Daphnia pulex: one gene and its partners. The protein of the gene in region 3 interacts with the protein of the main gene of each other region in a pairwise test. Links are inferred from orthologs where the notes say so. Each region holds a gene or a part of one and is shown on either strand. Other genes may lie near its edges.

Evidence for each region.
Region 1: the proteins of growth factor receptor-bound protein 2 (region 3) and tyrosine-protein kinase Src42A-like interact in a two-hybrid assay, tested with the Caenorhabditis elegans proteins (3 studies listed by BioGRID). The link is inferred for Daphnia pulex from reciprocal best matches to the Caenorhabditis elegans genes sem-5 and src-2.
Region 2: the proteins of growth factor receptor-bound protein 2 (region 3) and son of sevenless homolog 2-like interact in a two-hybrid assay, tested with the Caenorhabditis elegans proteins (3 studies listed by BioGRID). The link is inferred for Daphnia pulex from reciprocal best matches to the Caenorhabditis elegans genes sem-5 and sos-1.

Annotation. Positions count from the first base shown.
Region 1 is NC_060027.1:2,733,815-2,738,651, forward strand, and holds the start of tyrosine-protein kinase Src42A-like, read left to right. Parts: upstream 1-2,037; 5' UTR 2,038-2,646; coding exon 2,647-2,797; intron 2,798-2,862; coding exon 2,863-3,124; intron 3,125-3,679; coding exon 3,680-3,801; intron 3,802-4,178; coding exon 4,179-4,342; intron 4,343-4,417; coding exon 4,418-4,586; intron 4,587-4,670; coding exon 4,671-4,837. Other genes in the region: ankyrin repeat domain-containing protein 39-like, read right to left, coding at 134-567, 645-738. UniProt on the Caenorhabditis elegans protein: Non-receptor tyrosine-protein kinase which may play a role in larval and pharynx development. Unlike src-1, does not play a role in embryonic development.
Region 2 is NC_060018.1:8,053,388-8,058,340, forward strand, and holds the start of son of sevenless homolog 2-like, read right to left. Parts: upstream 2,801-4,953; 5' UTR 2,543-2,800; coding exon 2,435-2,542; intron 2,372-2,434; coding exon 2,108-2,371; intron 2,037-2,107; coding exon 1,953-2,036; intron 1,882-1,952; coding exon 1,801-1,881; intron 1,695-1,800; coding exon 1,212-1,694; intron 1,141-1,211; coding exon 219-1,140; intron 152-218; coding exon 1-151. Other genes in the region: uncharacterized protein LOC124205699, read left to right, coding at 3,816-3,857, 4,077-4,149, 4,239-4,332, 4,388-4,660, 4,772-4,953. UniProt on the Caenorhabditis elegans protein: Promotes the exchange of Ras-bound GDP by GTP. May regulate signaling pathways downstream of receptor tyrosine kinase, egl-15 and let-23.
Region 3 is NC_060028.1:9,113,769-9,119,239, forward strand, and holds growth factor receptor-bound protein 2, read right to left. Parts: upstream 4,257-5,471; 5' UTR 3,861-4,256; coding exon 3,783-3,860; intron 3,696-3,782; coding exon 3,598-3,695; intron 3,527-3,597; coding exon 3,407-3,526; intron 2,222-3,406; coding exon 2,056-2,221; intron 1,979-2,055; coding exon 1,805-1,978; 3' UTR 1,166-1,804; downstream 1-1,165. Other genes in the region: 39S ribosomal protein L46, mitochondrial-like, read left to right, coding at 1-83, 151-352, 414-550, 610-1,031; protein brambleberry-like, read left to right, coding at 4,648-4,956, 5,030-5,158, 5,221-5,406, 5,465-5,471.

The sequences.
Region 1 (4,837 bases), on a different chromosome or scaffold from region 3:
CACGCAGAATAAACAAAGAAATTAAGTTTATCGAGTAAAACATGGGAAAAATCGACGACTTAAGAAATAAAGCACAAAGTGGAATGTTGAAAGGCACTTGATTGGTTTCAATCATTTACGTTTGAGAACAAAATTAAGCAGTTAGCAGCTGTTTTAAAGTGGCACTTGAACAGCAGTCTTTTGGTAAACGGCTACGTAAATCTGAAATATGGGCAAGCTGCGGATTGTGAGATATCAATAGTTGACATACATCTGTACGATTAGCTAACGCTGCTCTATGAAGTGGAGTACACCCATCAGAATCCTGTAATCCAGCATCTGCTCCATTCTGCAACAGAAATTTTACCACTAATAAATGTCCTTGTTGGCAGGCGCGATGAAGAGGTGAACTCTGATTATTCCGTGTAGAAAGATTAACATTAGCACCATGTGCTACTAAGTATTTTACAACTTCCAAGTGCCCAGCTCTTGAAGCATAGTGCAGAGAACTGTATCCTGATGTGTCAACTGCATCAGCATTCATCTTTTGCAGAAGCTTACTAAGACGGTTCAAATCCCCATCAAGTGCTGTGGGAACAAGATACAGAATACAATGAGGTTTTAGTTTTCATTAATTGGACAGAAGAATATAAACCAATTATTACCAGCAGACCACGGTCCTCTTTCAAAATCCATTTCTTCTAATGTTTGACTCGCAGATGCAGTGTGCTGGCAGTTGTGATGGGTGCATTGCTCCATGTTTTATCCTTTAATCAATCTCTGGGGCAGAATCACTCCTGTAATGATTGATTTAAAGTTAAGACTATTTAACACAGATAATTTGGTCAAAACTTTACTCTTCTTCATCAGATGGCTCAGGGCAAGGTTCTGGAAAATCTTTACGCATAGTCCACACACAACTATCAGGATTCACATGAAATGAGCTTATGACTCTGTATCCCAACACTTCTAATGCATTTAAAAGCACAACTGGGTGATGACGAAATGAAACTGTGTGCACATCACTCCCCTGTTCATAGGTAAACCGTTTCAAATCTTCCAAATCACAAGCTAAACAAAACAATATTTGTTGATTAAAATGTTTAAATTTATTATGTTAATTGAATCAAGAAAATACCTTTTAATCCAGAAATTCCTACTCTCCATCCTGGAGGGATTGGCGGTTGTCCAGCTACGCCGTTTTTGTTAGGGTTCAAATTTCCAGATACAATAACATAAGGCATTCGTCTTCTTCGTGAAAACCGAAGTTTTTGAAATCAACAGCAAATTTCTCTGGTGCAGTAAACTTCACAATAGGTAAACTTGAAAGAAATTTGAAACTGAACTGAAAGAAAACTTTGTCTTTTTCTTGGCTTGACACTTTGTCGTTTGTTGTCAGCAAGCAGTTGTTTCAAAATGGCGGAAACAACTGACGAACGAAATGCGTTGTCATTTCTGAAGAATCAATCAGGTAGAAAGATCGAATGAAGATAACGATAACCGTTGACCCAGTTGAAGAATGATAATGTCAAGTGAATTGCATTTTTTAATTATTGAAAAAAACCTGTATTATCAATGCTTGAAAATTCCTAATTTTAGGAAAAATTCTCATGAAATAAACGGAAATACCACCCGGACTGCAGAGGGGGAAAGCCGGAAAGGCAAGCTGAACACGGTACTGTAGTGTCCTAAATTTAAATTTGGAAATACGGAAGCAAGGTGTAGTGATAATCTGTTCGTGGAATCAACAGAAATAGATTCAAAGGTAGAAAACTAATTTGCCTCTTAAACATTCATTTGAAAGTCGCGGTCGTTTGATGAAACTTTCGAAGGTCCGATGCGTCAAGGCAAAGCTTCTTACGATCATGTTTTTTAATTTTAATCAATTATAAATATTTTAAATTTTATTTTTTTAATTGCCTCTTTTTTTGTATTCATCTTAAATGAAATATCGAATGTTAATTTTGAAAGAATCATCCTCGAAAATTCGATTCTAAATTTGTTTTCGCTCTAAATAGCATATATTGGTAGAGGACTCTGCTGATGCAACTACATGTTTACGTTTACTCTTTGTTTGACTCGTGGCCTAAAAGTATTGAGATTTGAGACTCCCAAGTCCTGGCGATTAAAAACATTGTTAGACCCATTTGAATATTTGAAATGAAAAACTGATATTTAAACTCCTACCGTCCTATGTCAGATAAAATAATGAATCGAGTTTTTTTCTATCGTTACTACAATTGAAACAGCCAATTAAAATTGTTTTCAAGTAAGTAGCGCCATCCTGTGAATCAATTCCGAAAGAACTCGTTGAAAAAAAAGGGAGGGGCCTACCGCTAAGCGTAGCCGCTAAGAGTCGCATAGTTTGTTGCCTCCGGTCTATAGGTGAATGGATATTTCTTTTTCTTCTTTTATCGAACACAAGAAGACTGTCAAGAAGTCATTCCGTGCAGTCGGGTTTATTATTTCGTGTCCGAATTGATTGAGAAGGAACTTGTCGGATTTCGTCATAATGAAACAACAACAGTGTCGACCAATTGTATTTGTTTTGGTGTAGGTGCTTCGGCTTCGTTTTTGTACTGGGTGTGTGTGTGAGTGAGTGGTGTTTCTGATAAAGAAGCACAGTTGACATTCTTGATTGTCGTAGACAGATAGTTGAACGACAAAATGGGGAATTGTTTCAGTTCGGATCGTCGTTCAGTACCAAGGGTTGAAGAGCCACCCATTGGTGGTGGAGTGGGGGGCCAATTTCTGCCGACACAACCTCCTGTTCCCAGCCTCACACCCAGCCAAAATCACATTGATCAACCATTTCCACGTAATTTCTCCATTTGTGTTCCAAATATTGTCTTGTTCTTTAAACGTGGAATTTTGTATTTACAGCAGGTCGAATCATCCCTGTGCCGTCACTTCCTGCTCCTCCAGACCTCCAAGATTCTCTGAGTTCAACAGCAAAGGTCTTTGTGGCATTGTACGATTATGATGCCAGGACTGATGAAGACCTAAGCTTCAAGAAAGGAGAACATCTTGAAATTATCAATGACACCCAGGGTGACTGGTGGTTGGCCCGTAGCAAAGCAACTAAACAGGAAGGCTACATCCCCTCCAATTATGTGGCAAAGCTCAAGTCTATTGAAGCTGAACCGTAAGTTTCGTCTATTTATTTTTAAAATTGTAAATGTATTCCAGTGAGACTAAGTTTTAAAAGAAAATAGTCAAAGCAAAAACAACAAAGAGAAACAAAACAGGAAAAAGAGGAATGTAAATTACCACCTGTATGTTCCTGTGTAAGATGCATGGCCTGGGGGGTTATTTACCTGCTCGGAGAAACAGGTAACAATGGCCTTTCCCATTCACCGGTTGAGGCCGTCTCAAGGACATTGGGGCAACACATTTGGGCGAGGAAATAGAGACACGAGTACATCCACGTTGAGTTTTCCCCTCAACGATGATCATATGTTGACAATATCTACACAATCTGAAATCGGAAACTCGAATACTATCTTGTAGGAACCAGTCCTCGGCTTAATCCAATCCCATAAAACAAGTCGATTTCAAGGCTATAGTAGGAAATGAAGGGAATCGCTTCTGGGCTGATTGACTTGTCTGCGTTCTATTTCTAAAAGTGAACACTTGCCTTAGCAACTGGCCACCTAACATCTGTTAATCTAAGAAAATACTTATTTATTTTATTTTATAGGTGGTATTTCGGCAAAATTAAGCGCATCGAGGCTGAGAAAAAACTGCTACTTCCGGATAACGAGCATGGTGCCTTCCTCGTTCGTGATTCAGAGAGTCGCCGGAATGACTATTCATTATCGGGTACGTTTTCATATTTTTGTTGTCGTTATTTTTTTCCCTTACTCTGGGCCGTAATCGATTTGAATGCCATTTCGGGATTGGTTCTTTCGCAATTCATGTTTACCATTCCTTTTTCTCAAAAACGAACGAGGCCGATGGCGTGTTACACAATTAACAGCGCTTGATTGAACACGTTTTCCCTTGAATTTCCGTGGGCAGTACGTGCGTCTTTGTCAATTATTTTTCTTTCGCGGTCACCTTCTTTTTTTTTCCTCTTTGGTATTGTCACGGTCACTTTGATTTTGTAACTTTAATGCTGGCAATTTGTTACCTAAATATCGGAATGATGCCGAAATAACTAGATGGCTTATTTCTGTAATTATCAATCACTTGTGCAGTTCGCGATGGCGACACCGTCAAGCATTACCGAATCAGACAGCTGGACGAAGGAGGCTTTTTCATTTCCCGCCGAACAACGTTCCGAACATTACAAGAACTCGTGGAGCACTATAGTGCTGATGCTGATGGACTATGTGTCAACTTGCGCAAACCTTGTATCCAGGTAAGAAACATGTGTTATGTGCTCGTCGTAAATCCCATTCTCATTGCAAATGTTTCTTCATCCTGCCAATTATAGATTGAAAAACCGGTGACGGCAGGAATGTCGTATAATACTCGCGACCAATGGGAGATCGACCGGACATCGCTCAAATTTGTGCGCAAATTGGGTCATGGACAATTCGGCGAAGTCTGGGAAGGACTTTGGAACAACACCACACCCGTCGCCATAAAAACGCTCAAGCCGGGTAATTCCGAACGGAAATTGCGCAAAATTCCGAAACGATTCAGAGAACAGATTTTGATTGTCACGCTATGAATCTTGATTTCAGGAACAATGGACCCCAAGGATTTCTTGGCCGAAGCGCAGATTATGAAAAAGTTGCGACACTCCAAGTTGATCCAACTTTACGCCGTTTGCACGGCCGAGGAGCCGATTTACATTATCACTGAACTCATGAAAAATGGTAGTTTACTGGAATTCCTCCAGGGTAAAGGA
Region 2 (4,953 bases), on a different chromosome or scaffold from region 3:
GGTTCGAGCATTTCAAAGCGTTCAATTAGCAATTCCAATAATTCCGTCGGACTGCAAAAACTTCGGTAAGTGGTAAGGAAAGTTCTGACCAGCATCGGATCAGCGTACATGTGGTACGTCAATCTTTCAATGAGCTTCAAAAGAGTTGCGCCTGAAAAATTCCAATGAAAAACATTTGAATAACACATTTGAAACATTTTCATATGAAAATAAAATACCTTTGATCAGTGGTACACCTCCATTTTCTCTCGTTTCAAGCACCAAATTGGTTTCTGAATCTTCTTCAGCAAAACGATAGATGGAAGGTGGTGGCAACCGCAAAGGATGTTTCCTCTCTTCATCAAGCAAGATGACATCCAAAGTCCGCTCCAGCATAGACTTAGTGTTGAGCATGACAAGAGCTGCCATCCAATTGGCTTTTTCTTCGGCCGTTCGAGTAAAGAGGACACAATGTGGCTGTTGTCGAGGTGCAACCTCGAACGCATTACGCAGTTCATCTGTGTCTTCTCGATCCAAAATTTCGACTTTTCGAATGAAGAATTTCTCTTTTAGGCGATAATCACCCCCTGGAGAAGCGGCTGATGACCGACGGCCATGACCGGAAGCTTTGCACAGCAAAAGGAGACCATCGAAGAGGAAGGCATAACGTTCTGTCAACCGTTTTCCTGCTCCTACTTTGCCGATTTGACCTTCACAGATAAATTCGTTGCAAGCTGGTCCGGCGTCTTTACATTCCCAGCCGTCGATTGAACGTTGAAGTTCCTGAAGTTTACACAAGGCAGCAGGCCTGCTACTGCGCGGGCCACCTAGTAAGCCTGTGCGGATTAAAGGTCCAGCAGATCCAATGCCGCCTGTTTCGCTCGGCTTGCGTTTCGGAAGATTAACTCCGACGCCCGTGCAGGAAAGTAATCGTTCCAGCTCGACTTGTAGTGGTTTCAATAGCCCTTCCACTTGTTCTAAGCTTTCACGATCCTCTTTGCTAACACTGAGTCGATGAAGAAAGCGTACCACGTCAAAGTACGTGAAACAATGATAAACAGGCGTCAAAAGCAGCTTTGGCAGATAATAACGAACGGCTTCACGGAAACCGTGACCACCCGTTTGCAACGAGTGACCCACATCCGGTCGAGAGAGTACCGCCTGTAGAAACAATAATCAAAATTGCAAACCCATTTCAACTTTGTTTCAACATTCAACCAAATTATACAAACCTGTAACGTTTCGCGACAAGTGGGTGAAAGAACGTCCTTGGCATAACGATCGTAGACATCGAATTCGGCTGCTTCTGCTAATTCTTCAAAGCAACTGCCAACAGGAGGTGCTGCAGCCTGATGAGGCTCCTCGGCCATCTCTAGAGTATCCTCTAAAGAACCAAGGAGCGTCACTGTCAGTTCATAAATTTCTTCAATGTTGGAGAAAATGGCATCCAATTCAGCTGGACTTGGTGGTGGAGCAAGTGTAGCCAGTTGTTCACGAAACACTTTCATAATCAGATGAAGGTCTCGAAGGTACTGGCGTTCCTCCTGGATTAAGTCGCGTACCACTTGGTCGTAGGTGATTGTAGTTGGAGATGGTCCTCCCGATAAGCCAGGACCACCCATGCTTCCGGGAACTCCACTGGTGCTCGGTGTTAGTGGTTCATCTTCTATTGAGAGCTGATCATCATCGTCTTGATGAAATAAATCCATCAAAACCTGCAAAACGGAATGTTTGTTAAACCATGACAGAGGGGTTAAAATATTCGGGAGATAGAGAGGAAAGATTAAAGAAAAGTTTGCAGAGTGAATTCCTTCGTCATACCTTATCAGCACACATGGCAACTTTGATATCTTGTGAAGCCACCTTAACATGACGAATGTTTTTGACGTAATTTCCGGCAAGCTAAGGAAAAAAACGAATAAAAAATAATAATGACTATAAAGTTAACTAATTTTTTGCTTTAAATAATTTACCTTGAGCATATCAGCAGAAATATATTCCAATACAGCAACCACATAAAGTGATACTTGGTGGTCCACTTTATACTGTAAAACCTCCTTTACATTTAAGAGTTAAAACAAAGAATTGATTATGGAAGCTAAAACAACAAACAATCAATGAAACCAACCTTTTGCAATAAGTTGTGAACTTTGTCCACAGGAAGAACAATTGGTGATTTTTTCTTTCCCTTTTCTAGGGCAGCTTGGGCCTCGCTGATGGCCCAACGATCAATTGGATTGGGAAAAGTTTTTTGTACACGTTCCTCAACATCTTGCACAGTGTGAGGTGGTGGTCTGGCACACAACATTCCCAGTAACTTTAAAATAAGTCTTTCCACATATTCCAGGGCATCATCTTTGGCCTTGAGAGTCGGATGAACCTGGCTCAGTACCTGAATAACCATTACTGATCAATACTATCTGGTAAGAAGAACAAATAACATTTCTTGGTTTACCTTGTGTAAAGAAGCAACAAAAACTCCTTTCCATTTGAGCGCGTTCTCTTCATCGTCAAAATCGTAGAGGAGTCCCTCAGTCACGGGGACATTTGAAGAGGAAAACATGTCGAGAAAATGGAAAGGTTGAAAACTGACTTCTTTCAATAGTAATTGGAGTTAATTTTGAGTAGAAGTCATGATCACGGCCTTGACGGCAATCGTCGTAAGAAGAGTTGCATCGTCACACTAGATAAAGTTCAACGGGCAGTTGCATTCATTTTTGGCACATCCAAATTATAAAATGCACGTAATATTTAACAACTTCCCGTCCAATCTACGACTGTCACTGTACGTGTAGTCGTGTAGTAACTGAAGAGCTCCTAGTGCTCAAATCCCAAACCAATTCCGTTTACCAATTTCCAAAACCCAATAGCTAGCTCTAGCTAGCCAAAGTTTCACAGTCTACAACCTACAACAAAAGAACATAAAAAAAATTCGGTAAAACACGGGATAACAGATTGGAAAACGAGGGCTAAATCATGAGAACATTTTATGGAAAGAACGTTAACAAATTTTGTTTTCACTCGAGGCTTCCCGTCGGAATTCGTTGTAAAATATAAAAAATGGGCAATTAAAAAAATCTACCGCTAAAAATATGTGATTTTTTTTTCGGGATGAACCACAACATTTCAAGTCTGAAACTACGACGTTAGATAAAAATTGCTATCTGAGTATTTGATCTATTGCATTTCGTCCGTGTAAACTCAACGTCTTGTAAATTCATTTTGTCTTGTAGAATTGCCACTTCTTTGAAAAAACTCGGTATAAAATTGGATGATTTTAACGGAAAAAAAGCAATGTATGCTGTTTGGCCTGTTTCCATTCACTCATTCGGGGGAAACCCATCAATAACACAGCACAGCTAATATTTAATTTACCGCGACAGAACAGTCAATGCCGAAATTTTTTCATACCAGGGACCAGGGAAATTCCTTTTTATTCTTTGACTCAAGACAGTTAGGAAACAAAGAAATATTTCTTAACTCATTTCTATAAACTATAAATCTATAATCTATGAACAAAAGCAATGTGTGACAAAAAATGGTCTTAGTAATTTAGCTATAGTCTGTTTGAAAATCCGGCTATTGTTCGCCGTCGACGACTCCCATATTTTAGCTTTCCGCATCGAGATTCCTCGTTTTCAGTTGCGTTATTTCGGCACATAGGCAACCACTAACATCTTGGCATTTAATCTGATGTGGAAGAAACAGAAAAAAAGCTGCTGCTTTAAGCAAATGAGACTCTAGTGGCCTGCTTTTTCTTTATAAAATTTCTTCTGCGTTTCACTGTTAATTAAATCATCCTTGGTTACATTTGTCATCTACCACTGTTTATTAGAATGCCCAGCAAAAAGAAAAAATACAACGCCCGATTTCCGCCTGTGAGTTCTAGTTTGTGATCTTCATAATACTCGTAACCGCTCATCTATTCCAATGTAGCGTACATGGTTCAGTTTTTGTTGTTTATTATTGACTTTGCTATTGATTTTTCATGTTTCATTGACATATCATGTCAGTATGAAAAAAAACTAACAACATAATCATAACGAGATCAAGTTATTTACATTATTATTTGTTTTTTTTTTCTTTCTTGGTGTTAGGCCCGGATAAAGAAGATAATGCAAACAGATGAAGAAGTTGGGAAAGTGGCTGCACCAGTTCCTGTTATCATCTATATCCTTTTTAATAAATTTTTTATTTACTATTTTTCTTTATTTTACCGTGAAATTCCAATGTTTTTTCCTTAACTGAATTTTATTCACCTAGAGCATTGGAGCTTTTTGTAGAGTCACTCCTTACCAAAGCTGTACAGATAACTTCAGCCAGGAATGCCAAAACACTCAGTCCTGCTCATTTGTAAGACTGGTGATTTCAACTTTCAGTGTAACCTAATAACATGTATTTCTTGTAGGAAGCAATGCATTTTAGCTGAAAGTCGATTTGACTTTTTGAAAGATCTGGTCCTTACCATTCCTGATGTCCAGGCAGAGGGCGAAGATGGTGGCGTGACTAGCGTCCCATCAACACCTACTGTTCAACAACACCAGCCGTTAATGTTCCGATCTCTCAGCGAGGCGGGATCGTCTTCATCCACTAGTAAGAGTAAAGGAACCGGAACTGGGAGGCCAAGGGGTCGCCCCAGAAAAACTCCTGCCGCCCTTGCACCAGCACAGAATAACCAAAGGTTTTAATTTTAATTTTCGTCCCTGGAATTAATGCTGCGTATCCTTGATTTCTATGAAAATTAATTAGGCGTACAATATCGAGATTAACTTATTCCATGATGTGATTTCAGGGCATGGGCAGCTAGAAAGTCGGACAGCGAAGAAACTGATTCTGGGGACTCGGAAGATGATGACGATGATGAAAACAACAGCACCGACACTGAATCCTTGCCCAAGGGATCTTCATCCTCCAAGAATGGTAGAGATATCGCGTCAGCCACTGCCCAACAAGCATCTTTTCAGTTTAATGCCG
Region 3 (5,471 bases):
TTGCTTTCGATCTCATGCTTTAGGTAGCCTATCACTAGTTAAGAATGGTTTTTCAATTAACAAAGTCTATCAAAATCCAAAAGGTAAAAAGCTTAAAATCATTCATTTTTTAACGCTTTTTGATGGATAAAATAAATTTTATGTTCGTAGTTTTCTTGAGAATGTCGAGTGCTTCTACATCCAGTTCTTCACCCCAAAAATGGGAACTTCTTGGTGCAATTTGTCTGGAAAGAACACCAATCATTGTGCCTCCCATGACCGAAATTGAACAACAAATTAGTGAAATGATTGAGAAGTTTGATAATATGAGAAGCCTCAAATCAAATCATGAACTAAGACATGAAGAAGACAAGTAATAATTTCAAATACCATCAAAGATTTTAATTTTAATATGAATAATTTCTTAATTGTAGGAAGCTACAAAAAATGGCTGCAGATGGAACTCAAGATGAAAGTAACCCAGATGCAGCAACAAGGCAAACAGCTCAAGACTTTGAAGATGCTTGCAATGAAGAATTTCAAAAATTTAAGCCTGCCCCAAGGACTACAGGTAATAATATAAATAATAAAGTTGACTAACAAGTAATTCATTGACCTACTGTAAACTAGCTGAAGATTTGAGTGGAGACCAGAAGTCCACCAATCGAAAGCTGGATAAGCATTTGCTTTTTGTTGTGCAAGAAAAAGACAAGAAAGTTTGGAAGCTTCCGGAAAGTAGGTGGAGGGAAGGGGAGACCTTACGTGAGACCGCAGAACGTGCACTTAGAGAATACGTGAAAACTCCTGATACGTCAGTGCGAGTATTGGGCAATGCTCCGTGGGGAGTACATACTATCAAATATCCGTCGTCAGTTCGCCAAAAGCTTGGTTTTACCGGTTCAAAAGTTTTCTTCTTCAAAGCCCAATTGCTTTCTTCTTGCACTACTTGTTCAGACATAGAGTATAATTGGTTGGGCAGAGAAGAGCTTACAAACAGTCTCGAGCCCGAATACTTACGTAGCGTAAGAAAATTTCTCATCGATGAAGATTAATTCATTAAACATAGTATTTGTTTAGATGCATCTTTAAATACACAAATTTTTTTCCTCTTACACATTCTACTATTACGAAACAATGAACGCAACAGGTAAGAGTTTTAAATCTGACGGAGAAGAAGACTAAAACATTGGTTTGCACATTATATTTTCATCAATCAAGATACTGTTCGATGTACAAGTATAGCATGGTCTCAAGCTAGTTCATAAGAGTGAGAGTTATGAAGAGGTTATCGATATAGGTAGAAAATCGAAATTCACTTTAAAATGTCGACAAAAAAGGGAAAAGAGCCAATAAGATAAGAAGAAGCAACAGAAATGACGGGCAAACTTAATAGCCCAGTAATTGTTGTCGACGTTATGGATAAGTTAACTTATCTTTCCGCAATCAAAACCACACAAATTGCTCCAACATGACTATTCGACCAAAGCCACATCTAATGGCAATCCCGAAAGCTGTGTGCTTGAGGGGAAATACAGTCGAAAATCGAGGTTAGAACAACATAAACGGAAAAAAACTGAAAAGAAAGCAATTTTACAAACTGCTTTCAATGAGAAATGAGATGCAATCCTGTCAATCCTAGCTGTTCATCACTTTTACTGTTTTGTTATCAAAGTTAGTAATGTGTTTAGGTTCGAAGTCGGCAAAAATAACTTGAGTCTTAAGAACGGACGCACCACTTTAATACAAAAAGAAAAAAAAAATGAAGAAAAATTTATGAAGAAAAGAAAAGGAGCAAAAGAAAACGAACGAACAGTGCCTTCGCCTTTTAAGTATGATACGGGGCAACGTAAGTGGCAGGAAAGAGGCCGCGGCGGGCGCCAATTTCTCCAGTCCACCAATGTTGATCAGAACGGTCTGTCACAGTTATGACGTCGCCTCGCTTAAATTCCAATTCACCTGGTTCTTGCGGGGTGAAATCGTATAGTGCCTGCACCAAGAACTGTCGAAAATTCACACAACAATTGTTAGTCAATCCTGAGCCTAAAGGCATGGAAAAAAGAACAACTGGTAACTCACCTCTTCAGGCACCATGTCTCGTAACTTTATATCCTGAGACCGAGAAACAGATGTGGAGCGATGGTAGTCGACCAGTTCGTTGAGCGAGTTGAATTTTACCACCCACAAAAAGAACTTCCCTTGGGCATCGCGAAGTACTTTGAAGTGCTGGACACCATCGCCACATCTGCGAGACAAGAAAGAAAAAATAGAGAATAGCCTATTAACACAGAATGCACGTAACAAAGTATTGTGTAAATTTCAAACTAATTTCGAACTACAAGGAAGTAGGATGATGGCTTCCTTAGCTATAAACAAAACACACTCATCCTACAACTTAACGGGCAAAAACCTCAAGAAGGAATAAATAACACAGCAGGGCGATGAGAGAATTGTAAAAACTAAAAATGATGCAAAACTCCGGTTCAAGGCACATATATAGTTGCTTGATTACGGACGGTGGCTCAGTGGTAAGGGAACTTGACGAAAAGGCCTAACAGATAGAAAACAGAATGTACCCTAGACACGCCTAACAAGGCTAATAAAATACCAAAAAGGATAAAACTAATTACTGAAAACAGTAGGACTGACGGTTCATGAATCACGAGTCACGACTTAAGCAAAGGGTAGTCACTGCACGAGTTCCAATTTTACAAGCTGTCTTTGTTTTTTTAAGGTAAAACAAAATAGACAATTGAGATTCATTCCACCTTTGAAGTGAATAAAATTGGAATGTAAACGGATGTGTGCGTCATCAGGTTGACTCATGCACTGCATTTGGAAAGAATTCTTGCGTGATCAAATCAAATTTCTACAGAAAACCAAATACCCATGATTCTTTGAGGGAAATAGAAATAAACTGTACGTTCGGTTCATTAATTTTCTATTCAAACGCGTCTTCCTAGTAAGGTAGAACTTGTATCGTACAGTTTGGAGAGCGAGATTATAAGATATTTGATTTTACACTGATGAAAGCCTGCATGTTTGAAATTCTTTTCACGCTTCAAATGTACGTGTAGCGTCTAATCAGGATATCTGAATGCAAAGCGATATTTCTCAATATGTTTTTATAATGTGCTATTTCTACATAAATATTTTGAGAAATCTTCCCGTTTTAGGCAGTTAACGACTTACAAGCTTAGTTAATAGATGTCAACTTATCTCATTCAGATGTTCTAATGATAAGTAGTCTGGTATGCCACAAATAGATTTCAACAACATTTGAGAATAGGCAAATAATAACATCAAACATAGTAGAAGAATTCCTATGGGGCATTTCTAAACTATCTAGAGCTCTTGGTTAAGGATTTACACTGTCTATGTTTCTAAACAAAATCTATCACATTGTTATTTTAAGAACTAGATAACATACTTAACAGACAGGGAAAAGTCTCCCGGTGAGCTCTCACTGACTCTAACAACAAAAGCGCCTTCATGTTTGTTGCCCAAGAGTTTCTCTGCATCAGCTCTGGTTATTCTTCCATAGTACCAACTGTAGAAAATAAAACAACAAGTTATAATCAATATGCATTATTTTATCATAAACATTTCAACTAGGCTTACTCATGATTTTTCATTTCAATGTAGTTACTAGGAATCAACCCTTCTTTTCCATCCAATTCTGCTCTATACCAATTCAGATCATCTTCCATATTCAGAATCTACATTTGAATCAAATGAACAGGTTAGAATATTGCTATAAGCAAAAATTCCTTAAATTCTGTTGAAAGCATCATTGCTTGGTTTACCTTGAGAACTTGCCCTTTTCGAAAACTAAGCTCATCTTCAGCAGTGGCATTAAAGTCATGTTTAGAATTGGCCTCCATCTCGAAAATAACACGTTTTATGAAATCACAGATGATAAAGTATTTCTTGGCAAAACAAGCTTCAGAGAAGGAATTTCCTTTTCAAGGCTAGGCCGGATGTGCACCACGGCTACGTTTATCAAGTGAAACGGTTGTTGGCCAATCACCAAAATGTTTTGACTTCGTTCAAAGTCGAATTACACTTCTCGAAACTCAAAAACGAATAGCATTTCCCACAAATTGTTTGACAATATTGACTATCAACTGACGTATCCGTATCCACGATTGTTTGATTAACTATACACTGTTTTCGGGGCCCGACGAAAGCCAGACAGCCATAATTTTGGGAAACAACTTAGTTCTTGGCTTTGACGCACGAGCGTCACCAGTCCTTTTCTCCCAATGGAATTTTAAAGGTAAATGCTTGCGTGCCTGTAAACGTTTTTTATTTTTTCTAACTATTTTTTTTCCAAATGACTGAAATTATTTAAAATATTATTTCAATTACAGGAATATACATTTTTTATAATACAACATAATAGATGAATATTTTAAGATTTTAAATATTTAAATTTCCGTCGAATTCTTTTGGAAAAAGCAATGTGGCAACGTTATCTGCCTCATTTGAATAAATGCAAATGGTTTTCAAAAGGAATCTCGACCCAGAGATTCAGACCAGTCCGGACTTGAATTTAGAAAAGCAACGTGCAGTTCCTTTTGACTAATTTTATCGACCAAACCCTCTTACAATCTTATACAATTATTGTCAGATGATTTTCTCTTATATTGCACTGTGATTATTACAAAAATGAAGATAACTTTATATTTAGTGGCCATAATTCTCCTAGGAACTGGTAGTCATTCTAGTTTAGTAGGTTGGATTTTAGGCAGAGACAGCTCCCCTTTTAACATTTTGAGTAGTGAAAAACAATTTGATAAGCTTATGGCTGTAGCAAAAGAAGATGATAAGATTGAAGTTTCTGAACCTGATGAGAGTGCTGTGCAAGCAAGGTCTGATATTCCATTTGAGCTGTCTGTAGCTGATGAAAAATTCATTGCCGATGCACAGAAATATACTGACCTTAGTCTGAGCGAGCTGGATGTTTGCCAGCATAAAGTAAGTAAAGTACTTTGATGTTGATTCAAAGTACAATCTCACTGTTCATTAATATTAATGAACTCGTTTATAGTTAATCCTTCAATTGAAGCAAGACTGCAATGATCTCTCAGAGGAAGATTTGTCTAAGTTGGGTGTGAATCTTTTAAACTGCCAATCAAGATTGGAAGGGCGGAGAGTCTACCCATGCTCCTCTTCAATGGCAAGTTTTCTAATTAATGTATCACTTCAGCTAGTTGTAGCTAACCAGTTTATATTTTTTAGACTTTAAGGGAATGTACTTCTGACATGGATTCCGACACCTGGAATGCCTACCATATTCTATCCAATAGAGCAAGATCAGTGTGCTACGGTGCCCGCCAACAACAGTTTAGAGCACTGACTCAAATGACAGTCAACAAACTCATGGCCAGTTCTAGTCAACAATTGGGATTCATTAGAGAGCTCAAGGTTGGTTTCTTTATTGATTTTCATCACAACTGTATTGTATCTTTTTTTTTCCTCACAGGCTGAGC